4 linked regions of the Diceros bicornis minor genome follow. The protein of the gene in region 1 purifies or fractionates together with the protein of each later gene. This does not show direct contact. Links are inferred from orthologs where the notes say so. Each region holds a gene or a part of one and is shown on either strand. Other genes may lie near its edges. The genes, in order: EEF1A1, EEF1G, EEF2 and TUBB.

The links.
Region 2: the proteins of EEF1A1 (region 1) and EEF1G purify together in Homo sapiens (affinity purification with mass spectrometry; 5 studies listed by BioGRID and IntAct, counting the BioPlex papers as one, with this or other methods). This does not show direct contact. The link is inferred for Diceros bicornis minor from reciprocal best matches to the Homo sapiens genes EEF1A1 and EEF1G.
Region 3: the proteins of EEF1A1 (region 1) and EEF2 fractionate together in Homo sapiens (co-fractionation; 3 studies listed by BioGRID). This does not show direct contact. The link is inferred for Diceros bicornis minor from reciprocal best matches to the Homo sapiens genes EEF1A1 and EEF2.
Region 4: the proteins of EEF1A1 (region 1) and TUBB fractionate together in Homo sapiens (co-fractionation; 3 studies listed by BioGRID). This does not show direct contact. The link is inferred for Diceros bicornis minor from reciprocal best matches to the Homo sapiens genes EEF1A1 and TUBB.

The regions. Positions count from the first base shown.
Region 1 is NC_080762.1:56,999,087-57,006,835, forward strand, and holds the start of EEF1A1 (elongation factor 1-alpha 1), read left to right. Parts: upstream 1-4,747; 5' UTR 4,748-4,817; intron 4,818-5,572; 5' UTR 5,573-5,606; coding exon 5,607-5,750; intron 5,751-6,051; coding exon 6,052-6,231; intron 6,232-6,348; coding exon 6,349-6,645; intron 6,646-6,723; coding exon 6,724-6,874; intron 6,875-6,963; coding exon 6,964-7,220; intron 7,221-7,307; coding exon 7,308-7,542; intron 7,543-7,653; coding exon 7,654-7,749. UniProt on the Homo sapiens protein: Translation elongation factor that catalyzes the GTP-dependent binding of aminoacyl-tRNA (aa-tRNA) to the A-site of ribosomes during the elongation phase of protein synthesis.
Region 2 is NC_080770.1:10,513,729-10,521,232, forward strand, and holds the start of EEF1G (elongation factor 1-gamma), read left to right. Parts: upstream 1-4,495; 5' UTR 4,496-4,524; coding exon 4,525-4,536; intron 4,537-5,634; coding exon 5,635-5,793; intron 5,794-6,478; coding exon 6,479-6,542; intron 6,543-6,699; coding exon 6,700-6,842; intron 6,843-7,503; coding exon 7,504-7,504. Other genes in the region: TUT1 (speckle targeted PIP5K1A-regulated poly(A) polymerase), read left to right, coding at 1-437, 1,050-1,159, 1,325-1,435, 1,603-1,695, 2,104-3,251. UniProt on the Homo sapiens protein: Probably plays a role in anchoring the complex to other cellular components.
Region 3 is NW_026691553.1:3,036,137-3,044,076, reverse strand, and holds the start of EEF2 (elongation factor 2), read left to right. Parts: upstream 1-4,928; 5' UTR 4,929-5,028; coding exon 5,029-5,031; intron 5,032-6,049; coding exon 6,050-6,264; intron 6,265-7,248; coding exon 7,249-7,430; intron 7,431-7,504; coding exon 7,505-7,716; intron 7,717-7,940. UniProt on the Homo sapiens protein: Catalyzes the GTP-dependent ribosomal translocation step during translation elongation.
Region 4 is NC_080753.1:34,399,951-34,407,851, reverse strand, and holds the start of TUBB (tubulin beta chain), read left to right. Parts: upstream 1-4,887; 5' UTR 4,888-5,048; coding exon 5,049-5,105; intron 5,106-6,530; coding exon 6,531-6,639; intron 6,640-6,983; coding exon 6,984-7,094; intron 7,095-7,389; coding exon 7,390-7,901. Other genes in the region: MDC1 (mediator of DNA damage checkpoint protein 1), read right to left, coding at 49-187, 1,920-1,922. UniProt on the Homo sapiens protein: Tubulin is the major constituent of microtubules, a cylinder consisting of laterally associated linear protofilaments composed of alpha- and beta-tubulin heterodimers.

The sequences.
Region 1 (7,749 bases):
GCATACCAATTGAGGCCAGGCGTTCTTCAGAAAGCCTGTAGAAATTCGGTTTTAACTAGATAACTGAGGGGCCAGCTCAGTGGTGTAGTGGTTAAGTTTGGCATGCTCTGCTTCAGTGGCCCGGGTTCTTGGTTTCAGATGCCGGGCACAGACCTACGCCACTCATCTGCCATGTTGTGACGGCGTCCCACATATCAAATAGAGGAAGATGGGCATGGATGCTAGCTCAGGGCCAATCTTCCTCACCAAAAAAAAGAAAAGAAAATAAATTAATTAATTTAAAAAAACAAAACTAGATAATTGAGTGTCCCCATATCTTTTCACATCATTGCACATTAGAACTGTGAGGCAGGTGCTAAGTGTGAGTAAGGAGCAGACCCATGCCACAGATGCCCTGCTGGCTGTCACAGACCTGGAAGCAGAAGAGCAAGCACTGAGTCCCAACTTTCTGACTCCAACCCCACCGCCATTTTCACTCGAGCAGGCTGCCTAGACCCGCTGGTACAAGTTAAGACTAACTTTCCTGTCAGATTACCTGGGTTCCAATGCTGCCCGGCTGGGCTTTAACGTACTCAAAAGAAAAGATCTCCAAGATATATTAAATGAAAAAAGCAAAGTGATATGTAGTACTTTACCATTTTGTGCAAAAAAGTGAAACTTTAAAAAAGAACGTATGTCTGTATTTGCTTATTACGCATAAATTATCAGTTGCCTACAGGTTCTCCATCAGTAAACAGTGGGATTACATTAAATATTGCAAATATTAGAACAGTGCTTGGCACAGCGAAGTAACATTATGCTTGGATTCTCAGTCCAAATAATTCCTTGGCTTAATTATATTTTAAAATACCCTTTACGGGGCTGGCCCAGTGGTGCAAGCGGTTAAGTGCGAGCACTCTGCTTCAGTGGCCCGGGGTTCGCAGGTTCGGATCCTGGGCGCGCACCTATGCACCGCTTGTCATGCCATGCTGTGGCAGCGTCCCATATAAAGTAGAGGAAGATAGGCACAGATGTTAGCTCACGGCCAATCTTCCTCAGCAAAAAAAGAGGAGGATTGGCATCGGATGTTAGCTCAGGGCTGATCTTCCTCAAACACAAAAAAAGAAAAAAAATACCTTTTAAATGATCATTTTCAATTGGCACAGGCAACAGGAAGGTGGCAAGCCACAGCAAAACGTAATTACCTAAAGCTGCTTTAAAGTAAGCCCAATAGCAGAGTGATTAGCCAATACCGAAAGATGCTTGGTGAATCACAATTAGAAACATCAAAGAACTATTACTGTTCGCCCTTTTACTAAGTTAATAACTAAAATCCTTTTTTAGAGTTTGCTACTCTAAATAGTATGAGCAACTTTAAGGAAAATCTTAAGCAAAATATGACCTTAGATTATGACCCCAAAACACATTTACAAGTCTCAACAATGTTACCGTTGCGTTTTAACATGTAAGTTAGTAAAAGGCATAATGTATCTGCTGTCAAGTCGGACAAAATGCGCTACGATTATGTTTAACACATAGGGCCTGGGGAAAGGGACTTTTTAAAAAGAAAATAACATCTGCTTCAGTGTTTTAGAGGCTACGCCGCGGTGACGAAACCGACCCCCCCAGCCACGCGGGGTTTTCTGTCTCCTCCCCGGCGCTTCCTTCCGCAGTCAGAGGACCGCCCAGAGGGACCTCCGGGGGGCGGCGGGGGCGCGGCGGCCGGGGCGCAGGTGTGGGCGCGGCGCGGGGCGCCCGACAGCAGCGCCGCCCCCGCCGCCGCCTGGTTCCGGCCCCGGCCCCGGCCGAGAGCAGAAGTGGGGGCCGGGCCCTGAGAAGAGGCTGTGACCCGTGTCCAACCCTTACTCACAATATGGCTCCAGACACGCCCCCCCGCCCCCGCCCAAGTCTCGGCGGCCCTCGCACCAGTCAGTGGTGCCCGGTAGGTTACTTACACAAAAATCAAAGACTATGTATAACTTTGCTCTTCCTTAGGTGCTGTGTTAAAGAATTCTCTAGAAGGTGTTTATAAAGTGTATACTCTCACCTGCAATCACCGGGCCTTGCGGAAAACTTGCCTATAATCTGGGATAGCTTTGGAGTCAAACTTCTTCAATTTTCCTTTCTTTCTGGGCATAATAATGAAAATTCAGCTGCCATTATTTGTTCCTGGAACACTTTCGGATCATTTCATTACTTTAATTATACTTGGAATGTTGGATTTCTTTTTTTCACCATCCAAAGCAGTCAAGGTGCAACTAGGAAAATGAAAAGGTGACATCTGAATCAGGACCTGTAGTTTTTATAAGCTCCTGTGGAAATGTTTGTGGTCATCTCTTAAAGAATTCCCGTGTCCGACATAGTGCTGAATATACACACACATCTACAAAGATTACTATTTAAATTATAGTAGGTCTATCTTTTCAAACAGAATAATTCACCTGAAAGCATTATCTCTCCAATTATCACAATTTTAGTATTATATAAAAGTACTTGAGTTTGCACTGTCACATTTTAATGAATTGTGCATATTTCACAGAGATCACTTTTTTCACTTTTATTTTACTGAACTGAAATTATCTTTGATACTTTTCCCTCTTACCAACATCCACTTTCATTTTGACTTTTTTTCCTTAGATATTAACTACAATTCTGGATTCCATGTAAAACTTTCAAATATTCAACTTGTAGTCTTCTTTAGTCTTTGCTTCCTTCCCTCGTGTCACTAAATAACCATTTCTTTACATTTTTAAAATTTTGCCATTCCTATTAGAAGGCATGAAAAATAATAAATCTGGCACTTTGATCTTAATCTGAAATAACACAGTGTGCAGTTTATATTTCTGTGATATACAAATATGGCTTATGTGGGAATCTAGTTCCAAAGAGAACAGTAATTAATATTTCCAAGGAAATAAGAGCAGAGGTATTTGCATTGGTCTATTGCTAGGAGTTGATTTTCACTGTTACTTCTTACATCTTTATCTTATTACACACATGGACTAGCATATCAAGATAATTTTATTCTACATGTATATAACTGGGTAAGGGCACTAGGAAAATGCAATGTGAAAGAAGAATTTGTGAGAAGAGAGAAATTAGAAATATAGACATAGAAAAGGCTTTTGTTGCTAGAAAAATATTAGTTATATGTATTTCTAGGGAAACTTTATATGGCCTCGTTTCTTTCATGAAAACTATCTCCAAGTTCAAATGAGAAGGATAGAAACCTAATGAAGAAATGGAAAAACCTGATTTTTAGAAGTTTATATGTACAAGGAATGGTTAAAAAAAAAAAGATAAAGGAAGGCTATTCTAGAAGGCTTCTTTCATTTAAAAAGAAAAAAAGGCATTTAGATTGTGAGAACTGAAAGAACTATATTCTACAATGAAGTAGTAAGCAGCATACAAGTTTGTCTTTAACTGCTTCCCAATTGTTTTATGTTTGTTTTCCTCTTCCAATTTGATTGTGGGTTCCTCTCCAAAAAGAAGTATTTCTTTTTCACATGCCACAGAGCTTCGCTTAGCACTGGACACTTAGTAGCTTCTCAAATATTTAATAGATTGCCTCGAGAAGTTGCAGAGATGTTCTATACGTGGAAGAAAAGACATAATGTTCTTGTAATTAGCTCATTAAAAATACACGTTCTTATTTCTTCAGAGGAGTATTTCTCAGTCTGCCCTGATTGTCAACCAAAAAGGCCTCATCAGATTTCGCCCTAGATTTATGCTAAAATTCAGTTACAATCAATAGGACAGAAAATGAAGCCATTTATTTAAATAGGATAGGCCATTTTTGAGAAGCAGTGATTTCACAGCAAGTGTTGGGGACAGGAAAACGCGGAGGATAATCTTGCTGAGGCTGTAGCTCTTAGCCTCTACATGAGATCATGTGGCAAGACTGAATTTGAAAAATTCTTTTTGGGTATTTCATGCGTGCAATCGAGTGTACAGTGGAAAAAAATGTACCACCAGGGTAGACACACACACTCAGGGTCTCTTTTGTAACAAAACTAGAGTTAGAAGTAAAGCAAACTGTAGGCATGAACTCTGTTCTGAACTGAAACACTGGGCATGTGGAGACCACACCGGGCGAACATGTGATGCGGCCTTCGATAAAAGCAGCTGGCTCTGAACGGAACCAGCCAAGAGGCCAGCCCGGGAGCACATCCGTCGGGCTCACAGCCTCCAAGCTGAACCGCGGGCGGCTCTCGGACCGGGCAGGGAGCCCCCGGGTCTCGGGCCTTGCACTCCCCTCAGGTCGGGCGGGGCACGGAGGGCGGAGGAAGCGGCTGGAGGGGCTTGTTCCGGACCCTCGAGAGGGCAGGACTGAGGACGGTAGGTGTATTGCGGGATGAAGGGACACCCCAATATCGATACCATCTTTGCAGTTAAACCAGGAATGGTACAGGAAGATTATGGACGTGCCCGCCAGCCGCCTTCTCGCCGCCGCACCCCGCGCTGGTGCTGAGAGTAACTCATACAAAAAGAGGACTCGCCTCTGCCTGGGGGAATCCCAGGGACCGTCGTTAAACTCCCACTAACCTAGAACTGAGGGCGCGTGCGTCCCGGTCCTCCCGGTGGCTCTCGTCGTCATCGGGGTCGAGAGGAGCATGCGCGAAGCGAGGTGTGCTCTTCAGCGGGTTGAGCGCACATGGCGCACGGTCCCCGAGAGTGGGGGAGGGGCTGCGAGTGCACTGGGCGGCGGCGCGGGGAGAGCTGGGAAAGCGCGTCGTGTGCTGGCCCCGCCCCCTTTTCCGAGGGGGGGAAGACCGTATATAAGCGCCGTGGTCAGCCTGAACGTTCTTTTTCGCAACGGGTTTGCCGCCAGAACACAGGTGAGCGCGAGTGTGGCCTCCGGGCCGGGCCTGCGCGGCGGGCCCCGGCCTCGCGTGCCTCTCGGCCGCCGTTCCGCGGAGCCCCCTCACGCGGCTCCTGACCTCGAACTTGGGGCTGGACGTGGTGCGGTTCGCGGCCTGGGCTTTTCCGGAAGGCCCTGCGCCTCGTGCTGGGGTTGAGGCCTGGCTCGGGCGCAGCGCCCGCCGCGTGCGGGGCCCCTGCTGCCCTCGGGTGAGGTCCCCGGCCGCTTGAAGTTGAGAAGACACCACGGTGTCCCCCGCGGGTGGAGTGGCCGAGGCCGGGCCGGATCCCGCCGTGTGGGCTCGTCCGCGTCGTCGGGTTGCCGGGCGCGGGCCGCCGCGAGGCGCGGAGGGCGGGGCCGCTCGTGCGGGCGCGGGCGGGGGCGGAGGGAGCCCGGGTGCGGCGGGGCGCGCCGGCTGCGCGGCACCAGTTGCGTGCGCGGAAAGATGGCCGCTCAGGCCCTGGCGGCGCTCAAAATGGAGGACGCGGGCCCGGCGGGCGTGAGTCACCACACAAAGGGCCGGCGCCGTGCCCCGGCTCCCGGCCGCCGCCCCCGCGGTCCTCGGCCGGGGGGAGGGGCGGCGTGGTCGGCTCCGCCGGGGCTGGAGGCGAGAGCGGGGCCAGTGGGGCGCTGCTGTAATGCAACTTGGAGTTTGCCCTTTTGAGTTTGGATCGTAGCTTTTTTCAAGCCTTTGGGACGGTGACTTAAAGTTTATTTTTTCTTTCAATTTAGGTGTCGTGAAAACCACCGCTGAATCTAAGCCACAATGGGAAAGGAAAAGACTCATATCAACATCGTGGTCATTGGACACGTGGACTCGGGCAAGTCGACTACTACTGGCCATCTGATCTACAAATGTGGTGGGATCGACAAAAGAACCATCGAAAAATTCGAGAAGGAGGCTGCGGAGGTAGGTATCACTAACAGGTGAATGAGAAGTCTACTGCTGAAGACGTTAAATGAAGATTTTGAAAAATTATTGTCACTAGCCTAGATATTTACGTCACACTGGATAAAAACGGTATAACCTAATGTTTGCTGTTGAGTCAGTTTTGTAACCATGTTTTGAGAATAAGGGAAAGCCACTTAGATTTAGCCATTGTGAAGAGGAATCGAGCATTTCTAGCTAGATAAGTGCGGTAAGGAATTTCAAGCTGGCATTTGATCGTGTCTTAGTTAGCAAGTAACCATTTTTAATCCAACCCTAACAGATGGGAAAGGGCTCCTTCAAGTATGCCTGGGTCTTGGATAAACTGAAAGCTGAACGTGAGCGTGGTATCACCATTGATATCTCCCTGTGGAAGTTTGAGACCAGCAAGTATTATGTGACCATCATTGATGCCCCGGGACACAGAGACTTTATCAAAAACATGATTACAGGCACATCTCAGGTTTGTAGTTTTAATAACTATCGGCAGTAACTCTTGGTTTGTCTTATACATTGAAAACATGGTGTTGTCTTCCTTTTGAAGAGCTTTAACAAGGTATGGCCTTGTTTTCTTTAAAAGGCTGACTGTGCTGTCCTGATTGTTGCTGCTGGTGTTGGTGAATTTGAAGCAGGTATCTCCAAGAACGGGCAGACCCGTGAGCATGCCCTTCTGGCTTACACACTGGGTGTGAAACAACTAATCGTTGGTGTTAACAAAATGGATTCCACTGAGCCACCCTACAGCCAGAAGAGATATGAGGAAATTGTTAAGGAAGTCAGCACCTACATTAAGAAAATTGGCTACAACCCCGACACAGTTGCATTTGTGCCAATTTCTGGTTGGAATGGTGACAACATGCTCGAGCCAAGTGCTAACGTAAGTGGCTTTCAAAGCAGTTGAAAAACTCTGAAAGGGGCAAGTTTCATGGTAACACTAATTGACGTTGTGTTGCAGATGCCTTGGTTCAAGGGATGGAAAGTCACCCGTAAAGATGGTAATGCCAGTGGAACCACACTGCTTGAAGCTCTGGATTGCATCCTGCCACCAACTCGTCCAACTGACAAGCCCTTGCGTCTGCCCCTCCAGGACGTCTACAAAATTGGTGGTAAGTTGAAACGTTACTGTCAGTGTAATTTGCATGGGTTGCTACTTGGTATGTGGTGTGTTTATGATACTGTGTTGTAAACATTTTAGGTATTGGTACTGTTCCTGTGGGCCGAGTGGAGACTGGTGTTCTCAAGCCTGGCATGGTGGTCACCTTTGCTCCAGTCAATGTTACAACTGAAGTGAAGTCTGTTGAAATGCATCATGAAGCATTGAGTGAAGCTCTTCCTGGGGACAATGTGGGCTTCAATGTTAAGAACGTGTCTGTCAAAGATGTTCGTCGTGGCAATGTGGCTGGTGACAGCAAAAATGATCCACCAATGGAAGCAGCTGGCTTCACAGCTCAGGTAACACTTTAAAGTGACACATTCTCATCTCTTGCCAGAACTTTAACTCTCTTTGAGACACACTGAAATGCAAATCTTTTCTCCAAGGTCATTATCCTGAACCATCCAGGCCAAATCAGTGCTGGCTATGCACCTGTGCTGGATTGTCATACAGCTCACATTGCTTGCAAGTTTGCTGAGCTGAAGGAGAAGATTGATCGTCGTTCTGGAAAGAAGCTGGAAGATGGCCCAAAATTCTTGAAATCTGGTGATGCTGCCATCGTTGATATGGTTCCTGGCAAGCCCATGTGTGTTGAGAGCTTCTCTGACTATCCTCCTCTGGGTAAGGATGACTGACTGACCAGTGCACTTAGGAAGTTTTACTAAAGATGGAAAATAATTGCCTTTGTCTTACCAAGAGTTTCTAATAGTAATGTAAAATTTGTTTTAATAGGCCGTTTTGCTGTTCGTGACATGAGACAGACAGTTGCTGTGGGTGTCATCAAAGCAGTGGACAAGAAGGCAGCTGGAGCTGGCAAGGTCACCAAGT
Region 2 (7,504 bases), on another chromosome or scaffold:
GACTCAGCCCTTGCGTCCCCAGTGGATCCTCAAGCCCTGGCCTGCACCCCAGCCTCCCCTCCAGACTCGCAGCCTCCAACCTCTCCCCAAGATTCAGAAGCCCTGGACTTTGAAATCCCATCTTCCTCCCTGGCACCACGGACTCCGGACTCTGCTTTGGCCTCTGAGACCCTCGCCTCTCCCCAGTCCCTGCCTCCAGCCTCACCACTGCAGGAGGACCGGGGCGAGGCGGACCCGAGGAAGGCTCTGGAACGAACGGAGGCCCTGAACGGGGAGAAAACAGAGGGCGTAGCCATGCTGGAGCTGGTGGGATCCATTCTTCGGGGCTGTGTCCCTGGAGTGTACCGAGTCCAAACAGTGCCCTCTGCCCGACGTCCTGTGGTCAAGTTCTGCCATCGGCCTTCAGGTCTCCACGGTGACGTCTCCCTCAGTAACCGGTACCTTTGTTTAAGAGGGTGGTTGGGGAAGGCCAGCTGAGCATTCTGGGGTGGCTGAGGAGGGAGCCCTGGTGTGGGACTGTCCTGCATCTCCTGAGCCTCAAGGGTATCCTTGTTTGGTCCCATCCCCCTTTCTGCCACTCATCTCCTTTCTGGCTTCCACGTCAATGTTCGTAAAGTGTGTTTCTTAGAATACTGTTTTTAAGAGATTTAGAAAAGAGTTCCATGGTTGAATATGTTTGGGAAATGCTAAGTTAAATGCACAGGTTTCTTCCTTCCCCCTCCTCCCCTACTGCCTCTTTCCTTCTCTTTCTCCTGTCCTCCCATTCTCCCTCCCTTCCTGTCTTTGTTGCTTTGCATACTAAAGGCTCTGAGCAGCCTTATAATAACATGCTCTGTGAATGTCCGAGACATTCTTAGGATGTAGTGTTTCCCAAACACATTTGGCGTTTTGTACATCCTCTCACAAGACCAGTGTGTCAGCAAACACTTTGGAAACCCTCTTTTGGCCTTATTTCAGCTGGCCCCCAGTGCGCAAGTCTGGAGTGAGAGCTGGGGATGATAGGTCAGAGGGTTCCCAAGTCCTCACACCCTTGTCTCCCTTTGTCCCAGGCTGGCCCTGCATAACTCCCGCTTCCTGAGTCTCTGCTCTGAGCTGGACGGACGAGTACGGCCCCTCGTGTACACCCTCCGCTGCTGGGCTCAGGGTCGAGGGCTGGCAGGTGAGAATGAATCAAGACAGACTTGGGGCTGGGTTGGTGTCAGGGCAAAGGCAGGGATTCAGGGAGAGAAAGACAGGCAGGTACAGGAACCGGGGTTGAGAAAACCGCCAAGGAGGGGATCGGAGGCACCTCTAATCTAACTGGAATTATTGATTATTTACCCAGGGAGTGGCCCCCTTCTCAATAACTACGCCCTGACCTTGCTCGTGATCTATTTCCTTCAGACCAGGGACCCTCCTGTGTTGCCCACTGTGGCCCAGCTCACCCAGAAAGCAGGTACAGCAGCCCAGCCTCCACTTTCGATCTTGTTAGCTTTCTCTCTCTTCTTCACCTCGCTTAGATACACTAAGCTACCCTGGGAATCAGATGTCTCTGCTATCACCCTCGTTTCCATCCCCATTTTCCTGCTTCTGGACTGACTCTCACCTTTTTTACTTTCACAGGTGAGGGTGAACAGGTAGAGGTTGATGGCTGGGACTGTAGCTTCCCCAGGGATGCCTCGAGACTGGAGCCCAGCACCAATAAGGAGCCCCTGAGTGAGTCTGGGGAGCCTGGTAGAGGACTAATAAATGATGTTAATCACAATAGTAGGAAACATACCTCCCACAGTTACTGTGTGCCAGGCATGGCTCTCACAGCAACCTCGTGTGAGAGCTAATATTATTGCCATTTGACGGATGAAGAAACCATGCCTTGGAGTAATTAAGTGGCTTGCCCAAGGTTACACTGTTAGCAAGGGGAAGGAGCAGCATCTGGGGCAGGACGTGGCTGGGGGCACAGGGAGAGAGGCTTGACCTCTTGTGTGTAGGGATCAGAGGAGCCTGGCTTCTGGGCACTCTTCTGAGCCCCTTGGAAGGGAAAAAGAAAGTCCTGCTGAGGGAGTGGCTCTGCTGCAGGGCTTATCTCAGCTGTGGCCCTTTTCCCTGGTTTTCCTCTTGCTCCAGGTTCCCTGCTAGCCCAGTTCTTCTCCTGCGTCTCTTGCTGGGATCTTCGTGGCTCACTGCTGTCCCTGCGGGAGGGTCAGGCACTGCCTGTGGCAGGGGGCCTGCCCTCTAATCTCTGGGAGGGTCTGCGCCTTGGCCCCATGAATCTCCAGGACCCCTTTGACCTGAGCCACAATGTGGCAGCCAATGTGACCAGCCGGGTGGCCGGGCGGCTACAGAACTGCTGCCGAGCAGCAGCCAATTATTGCCGAAGCCTCCAGTACCAGCGCCGTTCCTCCCGGGGTCGGGACTGGGGGCTGCTCCCCCTCCTGCAGCCCAGTTCCCCTAGTGCCCTGCTGTCTGCAACACCCATCCCCTTACCTGCTGCTCCCTTCACCCAGCTCACTGCTGCCCTGGTCCAGGTGTTAAGAGAAGCATTGGGGTGCCATATAGAACAGGGAACCAAGAGACTGCGGTCAGAGGGAGGTGGAACTGGGGAGTCTCCCCAGGGAGGGACAAGCAAAAGATTGAAACTAGATGGAGAGGAAAAAAGCTGTGAGGAGGGGAAGAAGGAGCAGCAGGAATGTGCAGGGGACCACCGCGAAGATGGGGTGGAAGAAATGGTTGTAGAGGTTGGCGAGACGGTGCAGGACTGGGCCATGCGGAGCCCTGGGCAGCCAGGGGAGCTGCTCCTGACAAGCAAGCATCTAGCCACGGGAGAAGAGGGGCAGTCAAGCCATGTAGCGCTGGCAGAGCAGGGGCCCCAAGGACCTGAGGTGGCCCGAGAAGGGTCCCAAGGTGAGACAGGGAAGGGGGTGTTGCTCTCCTCAGTGAGCTGGCGCTGTGCCTTGTGGCACCGAGTGTGGCAGGGGCGGCGGCGTGCCCGGAGACGCTTGCAGCAGCAAACCAAGGAAGGAGGTGGAGGTGGCGCTGGCACAGGAGCAGAGTGGCTGGCGACTGAGGCTCGGGTGACCCAGGAGCTGAGAGGACTGAGCAGTGCTGAACAGAGGCCAGAGGCTGAGCCGCTTCTGACCTTTGTGGCGGCTGCCTCCCAGGCTGACCACACTCTCACCGTGACTCCACTCCGGGATGCCCAAGGCCTGTTCCCTGATCTCCATCATTTCTTACAGGTTTTCCTCCCTCAAGCACTTAGAAATCTCCTAAAGTGAAGACAGGGCCCTAAAGGGCAATAAAGCTGCTAGTTTAATAAACACTACAGTTGCCTCTAATTTCTACCCGGTAATAACCCTCTTCCCACCCAGTACTTCCCCTCCCCAGAAGTAATGCAACCTTCTCAGAGGTGCCTTCTCTGGCCAGTACAGCAGGTCTCGCCCTGCTCCTCCACCTCAGCAGCCCATTTCTGTCCTGCGTACCATTTATCACAACTGCAGGGAGTGCCTAGGACCGTGTGAGTCAGGCTCCTGGAGCCCACTCAGTTCTGGAACTGTGGTGTACTGGGTGGGTGGGTTGAGTAGCACCTGTGAGAGGAACCAAGTCTGCCTCCACACTGACCTTACTTCCCAGATTTATGAATGGTGACAGGGCCTGAAATTTGGGTTCAGGGGCTTCATTCTCTCACTTAACAGGAGAATTCATCCTGTTCTTAAATTGGAGAAAAGATTTTCAAACCTGAACATGGGTAAAGGGCAACCCATCAGAATCTGTCTTAAATTGTCAGCCTCCCCCCAGGGTGACAGGTGGAAGGGATGCGGCTGGGCTCTCCCTTGGGCCCCTCCCTCCTCTGCCGCAGGCTCCAGGACTAGCGCCGCTTCTTCTCGAAGTAGTAACAGCGAGGCGCTGCAAGGTGGCTTATGGGAGAAAACCCCACTTTTACAGAGGGTTTCAGACTTGGGCTCCGGTTAGATACACGTCCTCTGCGCTAGAAAACCACAGCGGGAACAAAAGGAATTTGGCGAGCCGCCACCTCCGCAGGAGTTGTTTCTGCTCCAGCGAGTGTCACACAATCATGGTGTTAGGGGCTTGGCAGGACGTGCCATCAAGTCACTCGTCCCTAGGCATCACACTGCGGGCCCGGCAGGCCGCAAGAGAACGCCTCCTCGGGGACCGGCGCCGCACAGGGCTGGCAGCTGTGCCACGTAGCCGCCAAAGGGCGCCTTGCCAGCTACTTCTCACAGTTTCCCCTCCCTCCGCGCCCTCTATCTCCACCTCGGGACTCCGATTGGCCGTATCTGAGGGGCGGGCCAGCCAGGAGCCCCACTGCGCAGGCGCGAGCCGTTTCCGCGCAGGCCAGCAGGCCCCGCCCCTTCTTTTTCTAAGCCTGTCGCCGCGGAATACCGAACTGTCGTGCGTGTGCCTTCTATGCCGTCCTCGCTTTCCGGCTGCTGTCTCTCCGCGGCTCTCCCTTCCCCCCTCCCTTCCCTCCCTGACGGCTTACTTTGCGGCAGCGCCGAGATCCCCACCCCCTTTCTCTGCGGAATCACCATGGCGGCTGGGGTAAGTTTGCCGGCTCTAGCGATCCAGTCACCCTATCCGACGCCATCCTCTGCCCGAGTGGGGCCAGCCGGCGTCAGAGGAGTTCTGGAGCCGAATGGGGGGCTGACCCAGGATCTAGAGACCGTACTCTTGGAGAGCAGGGCTTCCAAGGCTCCGGAGGGGAACTGAGGCTGGGGCTTTCGGAGGCCAAAGAGGTGGAAGGGTCTGGGGCAGAGGAGAAAAAACATGCCGGATCCTGACCGTCTGGGGCCAGAGCAAGGGGTGCGGGTTCATTGCCGCCTCGAGACGTGGGATCCGGGCAGGTTGACAGAACTTTTGCGACCGTTTTGTGGGACAACAGCAGGGACGGGGTGAAGAGGAGGGTCTTTGTGGGCTGGCCTCAGTTAAGGGTCATCCATCAGGGGGGTTTGGGAGCGAGAGGAACCTCCGGACGGTGGAGTCAGACCAGTCGGACCCCGCTGGTCAGGTTAATAGAAGGGGAAAAGGCAACACCAGGGAACTCACTGCGGGACGGGACGGGAGTGATGGTGCGCGTGACAGGAAAGAAAGGCTTTTTAGGGAGATCGAGTTGATTTAGGAAGAGGAGATGCCGTTGGAGATCTCCGTGGCTATTTTGGGGGGAATTTGGGAATGTCGTGGTCGGAGTGTGTGTGCCTTGGAGACGAGAGTGATGCTCAGGAAGGAGTGAGCGGCTCAGCAGTAGAGTAGCAGGCACCGGGAAACCATCAATGAATGAAACCAGGGCTCGGGGAAGGGAGGGGCGGATGCTTGGCGGCAGATGGAGTCCTTGGGACCTAGGACTTCTGGATTTCTTGGAGATAGATTTGAGGGGAAGAGAATCCTTCTGGAGATGTCCTTATGGAAGGTCAGATCTGTCAACAAGCTTTATTTAGCAGTTGATGTGTCGTTCTGTCCTCTGGTATTTCGGAGGGCTCTGATTACACATGACAGGTACTAAGGAATTCACTTCACCAGAGGAGTAAAGGAGTGGGTTGAACAGGTTGGGATCACTCAGGGAAGTCATTCTGGGAGGTGACACTTAGGACTGGAACCCTTCTACTCACACTAATATTTCTTTGCCTCCTCTTTCTGGCACAGACCCTGTACACATATCCTGAAAACTGGAGGGCCTTCAAGGCCCTCATTGCCGCTCAGTACAGCGGGGCTCAGATCCGCGTGCTCTCCGCACCACCCCACTTCCACTTTGGCCAAACCAACCGCACCCCTGAGTTTCTCCGTAAATTTCCTGCCGGCAAGGTGAGTAGGGAAGTGGAGAAGGGCCTTGGGTCCTGAGAACCCGAGGAGCCATAAGGTTCTGTCACCTTGAAGATGGCCTCCATCTTTTAAAAGGGAGCTTTCCATGTTATCTTTTTTTTTTTTTCACATTTTGGTGATTTAAAAAAACTTTTGTTTGGAGATAATTGTAGAGTCACATGTAGTTAGAAATAATACAGTGCTATTCAGTGACTTTATAAAATTCACAGGCTTACTTTGTGTTTCTATGAGAGAGAATGAGTTTTGACTGTTTTCAGTGCAAATATACTGAGCAGGATTCTTCCCCCAAGGGGCTTACAGAGATAGATCACTGTGCTAAGAGTAGAAGAGACCAAGTACAGTGTGTAGAGTGCTATAATACTTTGAATAATATAGACAGCAATAGAAGACTTGGCTTCTGGCCTTTTGCTTTATTTGATTGAGGAGTTTTATACAAATGTTTGATGATAGCTAAATCTTTTGGGTTTCTTGTGTGAGTTCAGATTGTAAGGGGTACCAAGTTATTCAAGTATTTTTGGTTCCTGAGTTTCAGATAGTATGATGAGTTTGGTTAGTAAGAGTTGTCAGCCTTATATAAAAACTTGTATCCACAACAGTGCAGTTCCTGGGATTGGCTAGTGAGAGATGACTGTGTTTTTTACTTATCTTTTGTCTGCTTTGTCCCCAGGTTCCAGCATTTGAGGGTGATGATGGATTCTGTGTGTTTGAGAGCAATGCCATTGCTTACTATGGTAATTTGCAGTGGATGTGGAAATGGGAGGGTCTGGAGGTGAGGGGTGTAGGAGAGGGTGCGGGTGAGCCACAGTGGACACGGAGAGGAATTTTCAGGGACCTGGATTGGTGTTGGCATGACTCCAAAGTTTTGACCTTTCTGTTCTGCCTCTGCAGTGAGCAATGAGGAGCTGCGGGGAAGTACTCCAGAGGCAGCAGCCCAGGTGGTCCAGTGGGTGAGCTTTGCTGATAGTGACATAGTGCCCCCAGCCAGTACCTGGGTGTTCCCCACCTTGGGCATCATGCACCACAACAAGCAGGTGAGCCTTGAAACTTGGGGAGAAGCCATGGGCAGGGACTACATCAGCTCCTGAGTGATGGGGACTAAGAAATAGGTTGAGAAAGGTACCAATAGTATCTGGGTAATGAGAAGACCTAATCTTCGGGGTGAAAGTTTGGAGCGCTGGGCTGTTGATGGTATCTGGGTTCTTTGTCAGACCCAGTGGATGTGGTGTCTGTCATGCATGGTCAGAGGAGAGAGCGATTTCTGCTGTAGGAAGGATATACCAAATGGTGGGGGAGTGGTTAGATCAGATGACCTCTAAGATTCCTTCAAGAATCGAAAGATATAGGGCTATGGTTATTACATTGGGAATGAAGCCAGACTGCACCATGAAGAAATTTAACACTGAGAGAGCTCAGTTCGTGATACATTTGGAATGATCCTAGAATCTGACTCCATTGAAGGGGTGGGGAGGGATGGGCTGGGACTCAGTAACTGAAAAGCTACCTTAGTTCCTTTATTGGGGGGGAAAGGGATTATTTTCTCTCTGATCTTGGCAAACTAAAAAATGGTAAATGAGTTTTTCACGAATCTGAGTTTAATTTAAAGGACTGTCTATTCTGAAATTGTTAGGCTTTTTTTGCTGTTGAATGTTCTTTACTTTCTGAATGATAAGTTTGATCCTTTTAAATCAATAGG
Region 3 (7,940 bases), on another chromosome or scaffold:
CCTAGAGCAAGGGGGTCACAAACTACGGCCTGGGGGCAGTATCTGCCCTGCTGCCTGCTTTGGCATGCCCCGTGAGCTAAGAACGGTCTTTACATTTTTAAGTGGTTGCAGAAAAAAAACAAATCAAAAGAAGCATCGTTGTTCTAAGAATGATCTTTACATTTTTTAAGTGGTTGGGGAAAAAACATCAAAAGAAGCATCATTGTTCGTGTACATGAAAATTGTATGAAATTCAAATGTTAGCGTCCGTAAGTAAATAAAGTTTTATTGGAACACAACTACGCCTATTTATGTGTGTCTGTGGCTGCTTGGTGCTATAAAGGCAGAGTTGAGGAGCTGTGATTGAAACTGTGTGGCCTGAAAAGCGGAAATATTTTCTACTTGGCCCTTTAAAAAGTTAGCTGACTTTTGTCCTGGCCCATCCATCTAAAGAGCTCCCTCTTCTTTTTTTTACACTCCCTCCCTGTGTTACAGGTAGTGGTACAGAGAGCCACACTGCATTGTTTCTTCACTGTGTCTCCCACCCCAGGACCCTTGCACTTGCTGTTCCCTCTCCCTGGAATGCCTCCTTCACTTTTGCTCCTTGGATGCATTCTCATCTCTCAGGTAATAGTTTAAGAATTACCTCCTGGGGCCGGCCCGGTGGTGCAAGTGGTTAAGTGCGCGTGCTCCACTGCGGCGGCCCAGGGTTCGCTGGTTCGGATCCCGGGCGCGCACCGACGCACTGCTTGTCAAGCCATGCTGTGACGGCATCCCATATAAAGTGGAGGAAGATGGGCGTGGATGTTAGCCCAGGGCCAGTCTTCCTCAGCAAAAAAAGAGAATTGGCAGATGTTAGCATAGGCCTGATCTCCTCACAAAAAAAAAAAAAAAAGAATCACCTCCTCCGGGCAGCCCTCCCTGACCCCCCAGGCTGGATCATAGCCCTCCCTGTTCTACCCTTTCCTTCGCTCATTCTCTCTCTCCTTCCTAGCATAATTTGAAAGGTTCAACTTGTGCAAACATTTGATTGACTCTTTCCTCCACCAGCCCATCAGCTCCCCGAGGGCAGGGCTTCTGTGTTTCCACAGGCTCCCGGAAACATTTGCTGGACCAATGAGCACCGGGTCTGAGGGATGTGAGGAATTCCAGGCGGAAGGGTTGAGCTGGGCTGCAAAGCCGATGGGTTTATTTGCAGGCGGGGAGGGGCGGGGCCTGGTGGAAAGTCCCCCAGCTGGGAGGTCCCAGGGGCAGTTTACCAGCAAAGAAATGCAAAACTGTTTGCCCAGGGCTCTAACCTAGTCCCTAAGGGCGTGCTGGGAGCCCTCGAACTACCCTCACCAGCTTTTCCCCGGACCCCCTGTTCTGACGATACAGCCTCACCAGATCTCCCTAAATCCCGTTTGCTCAACCATCCTTGAGAGGACCATGACACCGCTTCCTGACGTTATTTGTGGGAGAATTCACTGCTCCACTGCCCAGGGCATCTAGTGGGACCATCTAACGAAGACCTGTCTGCAGTCATCGGCCCCTGAAACCAAGCAAAAATCAGTAATACTGGTCCTGTCTTTATTTCAAATCTGGATGCTCTATTCCTCAGGGACTTTTGGCATTCTTCGGGATTTAAAAAAAAAAATGGTATTTAAATATTATTATCACGATGACCGAGTTTTTCGGAGCCTTCTTAACGCCTCACTCTCCTCACCCCAGACCCAGAATGTAGTAGGTACTAATCAATGCGTGTAGCAGGAATGGTTGCAATAAAATCTAATATTTCTGTCCCATTGTAGGAGCTGTTTTAGTCCGCTAGGGCCGCCACAGCAAATACCACAGCCTGGGCGGCTTAAACAACAGACATTGATTGTCTTGCGGTTCTGGGGGCCAGAAGTCTGGGATCAAGGTGCCGGCAGGGCTGGTTTATCTGGAGGCTGGGGGATGGAGGTCTTCTCTCTGTGTTTCCACATGATCTTTGCTCTGGGCTTGTCTGTGTCTTCATCTTACCAATACTGCTCGTGTCCTATTGGATTAGGACACGAGCCATGATGACCAGAGTCCCACCCTAATGACCTCATTTTAACTTAACTGCCTCTTTAAAAACCCTACCTCCACATATAGTCACATTCTGAGGTCCTGGGTACTGGGACTTCAATATATGAATTTTAGGGGACACAATTCAGCCCGTAACAGGAGCAAACTCTTAAATAGGGAATACTGTATGCCAGGTATCAATTTCTTTAAGTCTCACAAGAGCCCCATAATAAAATAGGTTCTGTTATTCAGTATTTTACATGCAGAGTCAGAGGCTCAGAGAGGTTAAGTAACACACCCAAGGTCAAACAGCCAGTGAGGGCAGAAGCAGAACTTAAACTCAAGATGTCTTGCTTTGGTTAACCAAATCTGAGCTACGTCTAGGAAATAGTAGTGTGGCAGAATTGCTCTTTGATTAAACCATGCCTTTTTAAAAAAATTGTGGCAAAATAGACATAACATAAAATTCACCATCGTAACCATTTTAAGTGCACAGCTCAGCGGCATGAAGCACATTCGCATTGTTGTGCAACCATCCCCACCATCCGTCTCCAGAACTTTCCATCTCCCCAAACTGAGACTCTGTCCCCATGAAACACTGACTCCCGTCCCCTCCCCCAGCCCCTGGCCCCACCATCCACTTTCTGTCTCTGTGGATGTGACTCCTCTAGGAGCCTCCTGTGAGGGGACCACACAGTGTCTGTCCTTCTGTGTCTGGCTCATGTCACTGAGTGTCATGTCCTCAAGGTCCATCCATATTGGAGCAGGTGTCAGAATCTCCTTCCTTTTCAAGGCTGAGTAATATTCCATTGTATGTCTATGCTACCACTAAACCATGCCTTTTGAGTCGCTTGGTTTGGCTCTAATTAGCTGTGTGACTTTGGGCAAATCTTAACTTCTCTGGGCTTCAATTTCCTCCAGCTTAAACGAGCTCACCAAAAGCCCGGGGTTGGGGGGAGAGGATTAACTGAATTAATTGATTTAAAAGTCGGTGGCTGGTATCTAATGAGCGCCCCATAAGCATCAAAGGGCAGATCCAACGGGCTGCAGTGGTGGCCGCTGGCCAGCAGGGGCCGCTGCCGCCGCTTCCGCGCCCTCCCCGCGCCGCGGGGGGGGGGGGGCGGGCGCATGCGCAGCCGAGCCTCCCTGCAGAGGTAACTTGTTTCTCGAGGTTCTTCCCCGCCCTTTACCCTCGCCTGTATTTATGACTGCAGACCTTGAACCCGGCTGTGGCTGCTTCTGCTCTCTGCTGAAGCCCCAGCCCCCCACCCAGGCTTCTGCTAAACGTGGGTCTGGAGATAGCAGTGGGGAGAGGTCCTCTGCCAGTATCTGGCCCCATCCCTGCTGCCGTGGGGCTGAAACACCTTTTAAGCTTAAAAAAAAAATTATGAAAAATGGGAAAGTGGATACCCATCTGCTGAAAACGCGTCCTCCACACGGCGCATGCGCTTGCCTTGTAAAATTAACATAAAACTTGTCACGAACACAGGTGTAGGTGTTTAAAGACCCCCCCCCCCGATGGAGCCCGGGGAACCGATATCTGCTGCCTGCCACTCCCTCTGCCGTTCTGAGCCTCGATCATTCCATAGATGTTTATTGAGGAGCTCCTCCCTGCCTCAGTTTCCCCCCTGGGAACGTGGGGGTGATAGCAATCATTGATTAAAGGAAATCAGGGCTGTGACAGAGCTTTAGAAAGCAACATGCGAAAGCATTTGCGGGAGGGAGGAGCGCACAGGCTTATTTTAGAGTCCAGACGCGAATTTGCATCGCTTTCCGCAGACGCGCATCTCCTCTGCTCCCAGCGCAGGAAGAGCCCCGTCGTCTGTTTCCTTTCGACAAGAGCGAGTTTAGAGGAAGCTTTACCAAAGGGGGTTTACTCGCGCTAATGAGAATATCATTCATTGATGCAAGAAATACTTACGTACCAGGCATGGGGCTGGACCCGTTACAAAGGAAAAGGTTGCTGAGTTGAATGCCAATTCTCTCCCTCGAGCCAAAGATCGGAAACACAACTGTTTCTTAGGGTCAGATTAGGACACGAATGCAAAACAGTCTTCCTGCGCCTCCCCCTGGAGACGAAATGAATAGAAAAAGATTGCGCAGGGGAGGAAGCGCTTAGCCCCGTGCCCGAGACACGGCAAACCGGGCCCTGAAGTAAATGCTTTATTAATAGCAGTGATAGCTAATTAAAATAGCTGAGGTGTATTGAGAACTGTGTCAGGCGCGGCGCTAATCCCTTTATGTGTGTTTAGTTAATTTAACTCTCTCCCCAAATAGTGAGGGAGTACTGATTATCCACATTGTGCGGACGGGGAAACTGAGGCAGAGAACACGTAAAGTGGTGGAGCTCGCCTAGCAAGGTGCTTTTTTAATTGCTAAATCCACACCTATAGCAATGCCTGGTATGGTCGATGCTCAATCCGTCTTTCTGGAGTAAATGATTAATACCTGCTTTTAAAAAGCTTTTTATTTTGAAATCATTACAGACAGGTAGTTGCAAAAAGGGGACAGAGAAGTCCCGAGTACCCTTCCCCCAGCTTCCCCCCATGGTATCATGTTCCATAACAATATCAAAACCAAAAGACTGGGATAATCCACAACCTATTCACGTGGAAATTTGCTTTCAATAGAAGTGCTGGGCGTTTTGCGAGCTAATCTAGTTGCTTTGATGAATATGCTCAGCTAAAACGGCGCTCTTCGCTTTGTGCCCCTGAGTCCCCGAGGCGTGTACCCACCTCGGGGCAGACCACCGCCCCGAGCAAACCCAGGCGGGGAACGCGGATCCTAGAGCATCCACGCCGGCGCCCAAGGGGTTAACCCGAGAACCACGTCCCTGCGCCTGCGCGCGGCGTCGCTTCGCCCCGCCCCCGCAGCGCGGTCAGATGATCCGCCCAACCGGCGTCGGCCTATAAAAAGGCGGGGTGTTGACGTCAGCGTTCTCTTCCGCCGTCGTCGCCGCCATCGTCGGCGCGGCTCGCTTCGCTCGGATCTGCCTGGGAGAATCCTCCGCCATCCGCCACCATGGTGAGCGACGCCGCCCGGCTGGCGGCCTGGGACGGCGGCGGGGCCTCCGCGGGGTTCGGCGCTGCCGAGCCTGGAGCGCTGGGGCCGCCCGGCTCGAGAGAAGACATGGCGGCGGCGGCGGGGCCGGCGGGCCCGGGGCTGGGGAAGCGGCCGCCGCCATGTCTGCGCGCCGCGCTGCCCGCCGAGCCCCTTCTCCGCTTCCGGGGACGCCGCCGCCTCGCGGGACCCCCGGCCCGGCTGGAGCGGAGGCGGAGGCGGGGAGCGGGGTGTGTGATGATGTGGCAGACGCTGTAATGGCGGCGTCGCGGGGCGAGCGGGGAGACCGGGGGCCGCCTTATGTAATCCGCGGGCCGCGATTTTGAGATCGGTTTACTGTCGGGGGCCGTGGGCGCCGGCGAGGTGACAAAACGAGGGAAGCCTGCCCTGTAAAGCCCCCCGACTCCTCCTAATCTTGGTCTGGCTCCTTGGCCTTCCTTTGCCTCCCGATCGTCAACAGCTGACCCCGGAGCCACGAGGGGGGCTTGCGCGTGTGCGCGCTGCGCAGGCCCCCCCCCCCCCCCCCCCCCGATCGGGGGTGACATTTAGGACTCTCATGCGGTGGGTGGCTCTGTCTCAACCCCAGCCAGAGAGGTGACCTTGGACTCTAACGAGGTCCTGTGTTTGGGGGAAACCTGGGGAGGTTTTGGGGGGCTTCATCCCTCCCGTATCCTTTAAGTGGACCCCGTGACCTGCCATATGGGTGCCCCACCTGAGGGAAATCTGTTGTCACTCTTGGAGAGTCACACGGAAGCCCCTATTCCGAGTTGTCATTTCTAAGTGACAGCTGGAACCTGGCCTTTCAGAGATGAGGGCGGGTGGTATTAAAGGAGTGTCACGGAGAGGCGGGGGCGTTGGGGCTGCCCCAGGACCAGCCCACTCCTGGCCGCGGGCCTGGCATACCCTATCGATCGCCGCGCCAGTGCCAAGCCTGGTTCCTGGACACAGGGCCGGCCTGAGCCTCCCCTCCCCCCTGGCGCAGGTGAACTTCACCGTCGACCAGATCCGGGCCATCATGGACAAGAAGGCCAACATCCGGAACATGTCCGTCATCGCCCACGTGGACCACGGCAAGTCCACGCTGACCGACTCCCTGGTGTGCAAGGCGGGCATCATCGCCTCCGCCCGCGCCGGGGAGACCCGCTTCACGGACACCCGGAAGGACGAGCAGGAGCGGTGCATCACCATCAAGTCGACGTGAGCAAGCCCGGCGTCCTCTGGACTGGGGAGGGAGGAGGGGAGGTGGCTGTGGGGAGGCTGGAGCGGTCCCCGGGGGTGGGGAGACACACAGCAGACACCGTCGCTCTCCGGGGAGCCTCTTGGGAGAGGATGAGTCAGGCACCCGGGGGCTGGCGTTTTGAGCTGTGAGGGAGGGTGCAGTTCAGCCTAATGGGAGTCAGGAAGCTGTGAGGCTAGTGGAGGCGCAGTGATGGGGAATATTGGGGGGTGGGGGCCTTGGAGAGGAAGGGGTTTCACCGGTGGTTCCTCTTCCCGGGGCCAAGGGACCGGTGGCAGTGTCTGGAGAGGTCTGGGAGGAAGCCACTGGGCCGTAAAGATGCTGAGCATCCTTTGCGGAAGTGTCCTGGGTCCAGGTGTCAGTAGGGCGAGAACCCAAAGCAGTGACTGTAATTGTCAGTTACCTTTGGTGGTTAAGTCGTGAGGTTCTTCTGGGTTTTCTGGTCTGAGTCGTTTCACCTGGGCTGGAGGGAGAGGAACTGGGGAGGGCTGGGTTGGTGAAGGATGGTCTCAGGTTTGTGGTCTCACCTCACCTGATGACGTAGTTAACTTTTGGAATCAGAGGTGTGAACCTGGGAGGGATCAGGGCGGAGGCTCGGTAGGTGGGCTCGGGGGAGCCGGCCTCTGTGGCCGGTAGCAGGGAGGGGGCGTCCCTGGCAGAGGGTGCTGCCTGGGCAGAGTCCTCTGGGTGGGCTGGCTGCTGTGTGGGCAGTCTGAGGTCTGTCTCCGGGGTGAGTAATTAACGCAGGGGGAGGGACTGGGTTGCAGGTCTGCTCCGGGCTGCGGGCCTGACTCTTCGCTGGGTCTCAGCCTCCCTGAGGGGTGAAAAGCCCCCATCCTGACTCCCCTGGGTCAGGAACTCGGCCGACCCCAGGGGTCCTAGGAAGGGTAGTTAACCAAGCTGAGCTGTGGCTTCCCCCCAGCTAAACTGTGCGCTCTCCTCAGGGCCATTTCCCTCTTCTACGAGCTCTCGGAGAACGACCTGAACTTCATCAAGCAGAGCAAGGATGGCTCTGGCTTCCTCATCAACCTCATTGACTCCCCCGGGCACGTGGACTTCTCCTCGGAGGTGACAGCCGCCCTGCGCGTCACCGACGGGGCGTTGGTGGTGGTGGACTGCGTGTCAGGTAAGCAGCGGGCCCCCCGCGCGCCCGGGCCCTGGGCTGTCCCCACCCTGGCTGACAGCCACCCGTCCCGCCAGGCGTGTGCGTGCAGACGGAGACGGTGCTGCGGCAGGCCATCGCCGAGCGCATCAAGCCGGTGCTGATGATGAACAAGATGGACCGGGCGCTGCTCGAGCTGCAGCTGGAGCCCGAGGAGCTCTACCAGACCTTCCAGCGCATCGTGGAGAACGTGAACGTCATCATCTCCACCTACGGCGAGGGCGAGAGCGGCCCCATGGGCAACATCATGGTAGGTCGGTCGCCCAGCCAGCTTGCCCCGTCTCCGCTGCTGTTCTGGCACCTCCTGCGTCTGCTGGGTGGGCTGCGACCTTCCACGGGGGCTTTTCAGAGCTGGAGGTGGGTTTGCCGGGGACATGGGGTGACGGCAGGGGATGGAGTGTTTATGAAAAGGACTTCACGTAGCACTTGGCCTTTCAGGGAGGTGGCACAGCATCTGTTTAGGGCTTGTGGGGC
Region 4 (7,901 bases), on another chromosome or scaffold:
AAAAATAAGAGGCCTATACCAGTACTTCAGCATCCAATACCCTCTGACCTTTTTCTGGTCCATAGGCACTACTGAAGATATGCAGTCGCCCTACGGGCGCCAAGTTACACCCCAAGGATTCACTGGGTCTCTCTGTCTCCTCCTCTTCTTCAGCCTCCCAGTCAATAGCCTGAGTGTCCTCCATAATCTGGGAAGGAAACACATCATCATCTCTATTATTGGTTCACACACACAGCCTCAGAGAGAAGACTGATAACCGGGGTAAACCTGGATAGTTATGGAGGTTCATGCTTCTCTTTCCGCCGATCATTCCGTGGTTATCTTTCTGAAGCATTTAAAAAATATTTTTGACCACGATACAGAATAAGAAATAAATATCATAAGGTCCCAAATATATACAAACACACGTGCTTATTTATACAGACAAATGTTTTGAGAAAAACTGCCTAGCCTTACTATATACAACACACTGATAGCTTCATTCTATTTTTTTCTGTTCTCTATTTTTAATTTTTTTAATTTTTTGTTTTTTGTGTGTGAGGAAGATCAGCCCTGAGCTAACATCCATGCCAATCCTCCTGTTTTTGCTGAGGAAGACTGGCCCTGGGCTAACATCTGTGCCTATCTTCCTCCACTTTATATGGGACGCCGCCACAGCATGGCCTGACAAGCGGTGCGTTGGTGTGTGCCTGAGATCCGAACCTGGGCCGCCAGAAGCAGAGCCAGCACACTTACCTGCTACGCCACGGGGCCAGCCCTATTCTCTATTTTTCAAATGCTGATTTGCAACCCACTAAATTGATTTCACTATCCACTATTGGGTTGCAACCCATAGTTTGAAATACACCATTTTAAAGGGAGCTAACTTTTGCCAAGCATCAACTATCTGTCAGGCATGGTGTTACGTGTCAGGCATGGTAATGATATGAGGCAGGCATTTAGGAATCTAAGGCTAAAATATTAAGTAATTTGCTGCAGATAACAGCAGGTAAGTGGAAAGGACAGGAATAAAGGTGCTTCTGGCTGCAAAGCCCATGCTTTTTACCCTTTACCAGACCATCTCAGTGTGATCAGACTAACTGCAAAGAATCATAATAGCTGACATATATAGATGCTTGCTACGTGTCAAGCACTGTTCTAGTTACTTTGCATGGACTGACTCATTTAATCATCACAAGAACCCTACAAAGTGTTATTATTAACTTCTATTTCTCAGATAAAGAAACTGCAACATAGATGGGTTAAGGAAAATGCCCAAGATCACCCACATGTCCCTCCCCTGTTTAATACATACACATATTTTTTTGGTGAGGAAGATTGGCCCTGAGCTAACATCTGTTGCCAATCTTTCTCTTCATGCTTGAGGAAGATGGTCCCTGAGCTAACATCTGTGCCAATCTTCCTCTATTTTATTTGTGGGACGCCTGCCACAGCATGGCTTGATGAGCAGTGCGTATGTCCGCACCCGGGATCCGAACCCACAAACCCAGGGCCACCGAAGTAGAGCACCTTAACCACTATGCTACCGGGCCAGCCCCTGTTTAATATTCTTTGATGGCTTTCCATGCCCACAGGATAACATAAAATCTAAACTCCTTAGCAAGACCCTCTATGATCTGAACTTCATGTCCTGCAATGTATGCCTCCCCTCAAGCCTATGGTTCAACCACATGAATCTTCTCCCTACTCTCTGAACACACTGTTCCTGTTGTCCCCCACATCTGCATGCCTTATCCAGCTCCTTGGCCCTTTGCTCCTAGTTTTCTGGTCTAACTCCTACCCATCTTTTACAATTCAGTTCAAATGTCACTTCCTTAGCAAAGCCCTTCCTGGAGTCTTGCCTGCTTTCTGGTGTTCCTGGTGTATCGTACGTGTTCCACAATGGTGAAAGGACTTGAAACTATCCTAACACTTCTCACCATATTGTAACCGTTACTTTCCCTTTCTGCCTTCACACATCCCTTCGAGAACTGGACCAGCAGAAGTGTCTTTTCCCCTGGGGTCCATCATATTCCTTCAAGAGTAGTCATTGTGCACCTGGTACCGTTCGAAGTATTCAGGATATATTCATGAACGAAACATAAAATTCACCCTGCCCTCCTGATGAAAGAACAAATGAAAGATGAAAACTCAAAATAGCAGGGACGGAACTCACTTAGCAAGATGCCACCCTAGAGGGAAACTGTTGACAGGAAGGGAAAGTGGGACGCCTCCTTGGAGATAGTACCAACTCCGTCATTAAGACTGGCGAACTCAGCGGGTGCCCATGACCCTTGGCTCCAATCCAATGGGCCACCATCTTTGATCCCCATCCCAGTGGGTTCCCTCCTGGCCTAACGTCTCCCTGTGTCTTCATACCTAAACTCGGGGAGGGGCGTCAAGTAAAGATGAATATTATAATCCGAGAAGCAAACTTCCAAATCTCCTCCGCCCAGTCGCACCCAAGGCACGCCCCTCCCGCCCTCCAGGAGAACCAAGATGGCACCCGGGGAGCTGTGGGCAAGGCCCCCCAGAACTCACCTACTTTGAGTCCCCGCGCGCGCCACCAGTAACGGCCGCGGGCCGGTGGCGCGACTGCTCGCGCCCGGAGGGAGCCGATTCTCTGATTGGCTCCCGCCGCTGTCTTTCACAGTCCTGCGGCAGGCCGATTGATCAAATATCCAACGCGGACGCACATCCATAGCCCCGCCCCCATCCCCGCCCAGCCCCCTCACCGCTCAAAGGGGCGGCTTCTCTCAGGGGCTTGAGATCCGTTGTGCGAGGCGGTAAGCAGAGGCCGCCCTCCGCGCTCAGAATCGCGCACTCCGATTGGGCAGTTGCGAGGGACAACCCACTACCGCCTCACCACCCACCGCCCACTTCCCGCGCAGATTTCCAAACCGCGACCACAGAGTCTGGTTGCCGGCGCGGATAGAGGGACTTACCATAGTCGTCGCCCGATGCGTCTAGTGCGGCCAGAGCGCCCTTCCTCAGTCCTCCCAGACATGGTGTCCGCTGACTCATGAGAAGTGAAAACGGGTTGCGGGTTGCAGTCGTGGCCGGAGGCTGCAGTTTGGAGAACTGCCCGTAGGCGTGGCGCTTGAGGACTCCTCATTGCAATGGAAGTTCATTTCTTTTTGATTTGGCTTGTTTAGTAGAAGTCATGTCATTTCCTCCTTGAGAATACATCCCTGATAGACATTTTGAGGTCATTTTCCTAAAGCAAAGATCCCTAGGCGAACAGAAAGAACTATTTTGCTAACCATCTTAAAGGCTGACCGAGGTCTTTCAAGGGGTTAAAGAAGAATGATAAAACCATTTATTTCATCATCTCATACTAAGACAGAAGAGGATAGTAACAATTTGACATGTGTATGATTTAGGAAGTCCTTTTGCATTTTATCTCACTTCAGCCTGACCACAGCAATCAAATAGGCAGAAGTAGATTTTACAGAGGGAATTGAAGCTCTGCGAAGGTGAATGACTTGCTTAGGTTCCTACAGCTAATGTAAGGTAGAGAAATTGAAACGTCCGCTCATTCTAAATTCTGAACTCTCTCCACTGCCACAAAATAACTACTTTCATTGTGACCATGCCCTAAAACATAAAACATTTTATTTTGAGTGGGTAGAGGGGTCTTACACAACTTGATATTCTTTTATTTAGGTGACTGAGAAATGTGTGTTGAATCCAATGTGAATTATCAGTGATGACCTTGATATCACATGTCCTGTATTATGGTATTACCACACTCCATTGTTTATACACTTCTCACGAAACTGCAAGATCCTGGTAGGCCAGGGAGAGAATTTTTAATCGTTTTTGTATCCCTAGCTCCTGGTTTGGTGGACACTTAGTATCTATCAAATGAATTAATGCCTGAGAAGAAACATGCGGCTCTGACTTGAGCCCGTCCAATTTTCTCCCATCCATCTCCCTCCCTATCCCCCTTTTGTTCAATCCTGGGGTTCTTGAAAGGTTGCAGTGGCCAGCCAGCTGGTCAGTGAAATCAGCGAACTGAAAAAGGCTGGAAAGACACTGAAATTCTATCAGGCATCCCACCCCATAGTTCTGTTTGACAAGACCACAGTGTCTTCAACGCTGCTCTAAGGCCCAGATCCCCTACACGGAAGGAAACTTCTGGCTTCACAGATCCCAGATATCAGCTTCTCTAAACTATTCAACTTATTCTCTGAACGTAACCTCCGGACAATTACATCTCTATCCTGAAAAGCCCCTGTTGCAATTTTGTTTCTCTTTCAAAATATTATCATTAGAAAACTCCCAAAGAAATAGGAGGGCAATCCCCTCCTTCTTCCTGAGTATCTGGGGGAGCGGCGGCTTACTGGAGTTCATGCCTTGGGTCACCAAAGGACCAGCTGTTAGATAGCAGAGCAGGGTGCCGCATTTCTCCCCAGTTTTCGCTGAGCTAAGCAGTCCTGTCTTCCCAAGAGCTACCGCCGCGGGGAGCTTTCAGGGCGTGCCCACTCCTTCCAACGCCTGGCACTCCAGGGGTCCCAAATCCTGTATCCCCGAAAACGACGCTCTTTTTGTACAAAAAACTCAGGCATAGAGGAAAGAAATCGTACGCAAGGTCATTTTTTCATAAAATACAAAAAAAGTCCAAAACCAAAAACCCGGTACCCACCCATTCGTCCCTTCATTTTGCAGCGTGGACAACAATAGAGGACTACAACTCCCAGAGCTGACTGCGTTCGTCCACTCGCGCAGAGACCAATGGACGTCTGATACATGACCAGCATCGACTAATCAGGGCCAGCCTCGATGAAGCTTTGTCTCCCCACCGCGGCGCGGAGCGCGTTCTCCCGCCTTCCCACCCCGGCGCAAGCGCGCCCCGCCCTGCCAGCCTTCCCTCCTGCGCCCTCCCCTCTCCTTTCTCCCTCTCAGAACCTTCCTGCCGCCGCGTTCGGACCTCGCTGCTCCAGCCTCCGGGGCACGTCCCATCCTTCCAGCCTGCGGCCAGCAGCAGAGAAAAAAAACCCCACATATCGTTTTCTTGCCCCGTACACACCTTGAGGCGAGGAAAAGAATTAAAATAAATTTTAAACATGAGGGAAATCGTGCACATCCAGGCCGGTCAATGTGGCAACCAGATCGGTGCCAAGGTAAGGATTTTAAACCTCTTTTAACTATATTTCTTTTTCCGAAGGAAAAAACCCGGACAAATGATAAAGAGTGGTTGTAGGACATTTGCACTCTTCATCTTTAGCCAAGCTTTGCCAAAAAAAGTTTTATATATATAATACCCATTTGTTGCTAGAATTTGCTCTTAAGAAAATGGGGAATGATTTTTTTTTGGCAGGCTCATTTTGGGGAAGCCATTAAAAGCACCCTTCAGATTTAGGGGGCGGGAAGACCGAGGTTCTGCAAGCTTTTACTTAAAGAGGATCTCCTAACGGTCTGAAGACTGGGGAGGGAGGGACATGCGGAAACAGTCCGAGACAAAGCGAGGCGAGGTTTTCCCCGGGTGCATCTCCCTTGGCGGGGCTTTATGTGGCTAAGCCGGAGGAGGAAGGGACGAGGCTGGGCGGGCAGCTGCAGAGAGCTGGGATCCCAAGGTGGGGGACGCGGTGGGCCACTGGGTTGCACTACGCGTTACCATTCACAAAAGATCGGGGCTCTCCGCGCGCCCGCGATCCCCGAGGGGCGGTCCGGTAGTTTTTCGTGGATGGAAGGCTAACATGTGCTTGATTAATTTTACTTTCTTTGATTTCCCCTTAAAAGAGACCCTTTTAGGGAGTGAACAGATGAGAAAGAGGGCGGGAGAAAAGGAGGGGGTCGTTTTCTTTAAAGGGTCCCTTACGACTAAAGGATGGGAGAAAGGAAGGTGATCCTCATTTAAAGCAAGGGGGGAAAAGCGAAGGAATAAAATTCGAGGCCAAGGGGGGATTTTTTTTTTCTTTTGCGCGCGGTTACAGTGTAGCGGGGGAGGGGCGGGAGGAAGTGCGGCTGCTACGTTGTAGCAGAAGGGCGGGGCCCGGGCGCCCCTTGGCGCGCCGGGACAATGCGGCCCTGAGGGCCGGCCGGGGGCGCGCGAGCCCGAGCCGAGCCCCGCCCCTGGCGCGCGGAATTCGCGCCTCGGCCCCGCCCACGCTCGGCGCCTCTTTGTTGGCTGCTCGGCGTGCGCGTGCGCCGCAGTCACGTGGCGGGGGGCGGGAGGTGGTCGACTGCTGCAGCGGCTCCTTTCTGCGTCTCCCTGGCTCTTTGTGCGCTGCGTGGAGGGGCGGTGCCCAGCGTGGGGGGGGGCGGGGAGGGGCTCTTATCCAGTCTACTCTGCCGCCTCCATCCTCTCACCCCGGTTCCTGCTATCCCCGGGCACGCCCAGCCGCACATCATCTCATCCCAAGTAGTGGAAGCTGCGGCTTTCCCGGGGGTGCGGTGTCTAGGCGAAGGGTGGGGCAGGCAGATAGAGGGGATGCCGGGCCCTGGAACAAGACCTACCACAGGCGTGTCTGGAATTACAGTGGTTGCGAGGAGGCATAATTGGTTGGGACCTGAGCCATTGAGGGTTCATTGCTCTCCCCCGACAGTTCTGGGAGGTGATCAGTGATGAACATGGCATCGACCCCACCGGTACCTACCACGGGGACAGCGATCTGCAGCTCGACCGCATCTCCGTGTACTACAATGAAGCCACAGGTGAGGGCAGGAGCCCGGGAAGCTCGGGTCCCATCTCCTCTCCCACTTCTCTGGGGTTGCTCTTCATCCCTGGAGACCCCTTTACCCTTTTGGATGAATGCATCTTTTTGTTTTTGAGAACTTGATTTGATTCCCCACCATCTTGGCGAAAGACTGGCTCTGCTGCCACCTGGTGGCAGCGCCTGGAACCAGAAGTTTGGGCCCCGACTGTCTGCCAGCCCCGATTTATTTTTTTTTTTAATTTTTTAATTTTTATTGAGGTGACGTTGGTTTATAACCCAGCCCCGATTTGTTTACCTTATTCCTGCCTGCCACTTTTCACTCTTCTACTTTCTTCCCTGTAGGTGGCAAATATGTTCCTCGTGCTATCTTGGTGGATCTGGAACCCGGGACCATGGACTCTGTTCGCTCAGGTCCTTTTGGCCAGATCTTCAGACCAGACAACTTTGTGTTCGGTGAGTTATACGCATTAGTAGATACCGTCATATTCACTTTATTTGGGTGCAAGGAGACAGCAAGAGATTGGAGACGATTGTTGTATGGGAGAGCTTGTTCAGGGCTGTGTTCTGAAATCTGTAATGGAGTGTGAAGTTGGGAGTGCCCTAGATGGTAATTATGGGGGGCATGTATCACAGGTGAGCGAGACAGAAGATACATCTAAGGGCATTATTCCAAAAGTTGGAAGGTGGAAATACGGTCTTGCATCTTCCACACTTTACTAATCAAGCTTGCCTCCTGACCCCATTCCAGGTCAGTCCGGGGCAGGCAACAACTGGGCCAAGGGCCACTATACAGAGGGGGCCGAGCTGGTTGACTCGGTCCTGGACGTGGTTCGGAAGGAGGCAGAGAGCTGTGACTGCCTGCAGGGCTTCCAGCTGACCCACTCGCTGGGCGGGGGCACAGGCTCTGGAATGGGCACCTTGCTCATCAGCAAGATCCGAGAAGAGTATCCTGACCGCATCATGAACACCTTCAGTGTGGTGCCCTCACCCAAAGTGTCTGACACTGTGGTTGAGCCCTACAACGCCACCCTCTCCGTCCATCAGTTGGTAGAGAACACCGATGAGACCTACTGCATTGACAACGAGGCCCTTTATGACATCTGCTTCCGCACCCTCAAGCTGACCACACCAACCTACGGGGACCTGAACCATCTCGTCTCAGCCACCATGAGCGGAGTCACCACCTGCCTCCGCTTCCCTGGCCAGCTCAATGCTGACCTCCGCAAGCTGGCAGTCAACATGGTGCCCTTCCCACGTCTC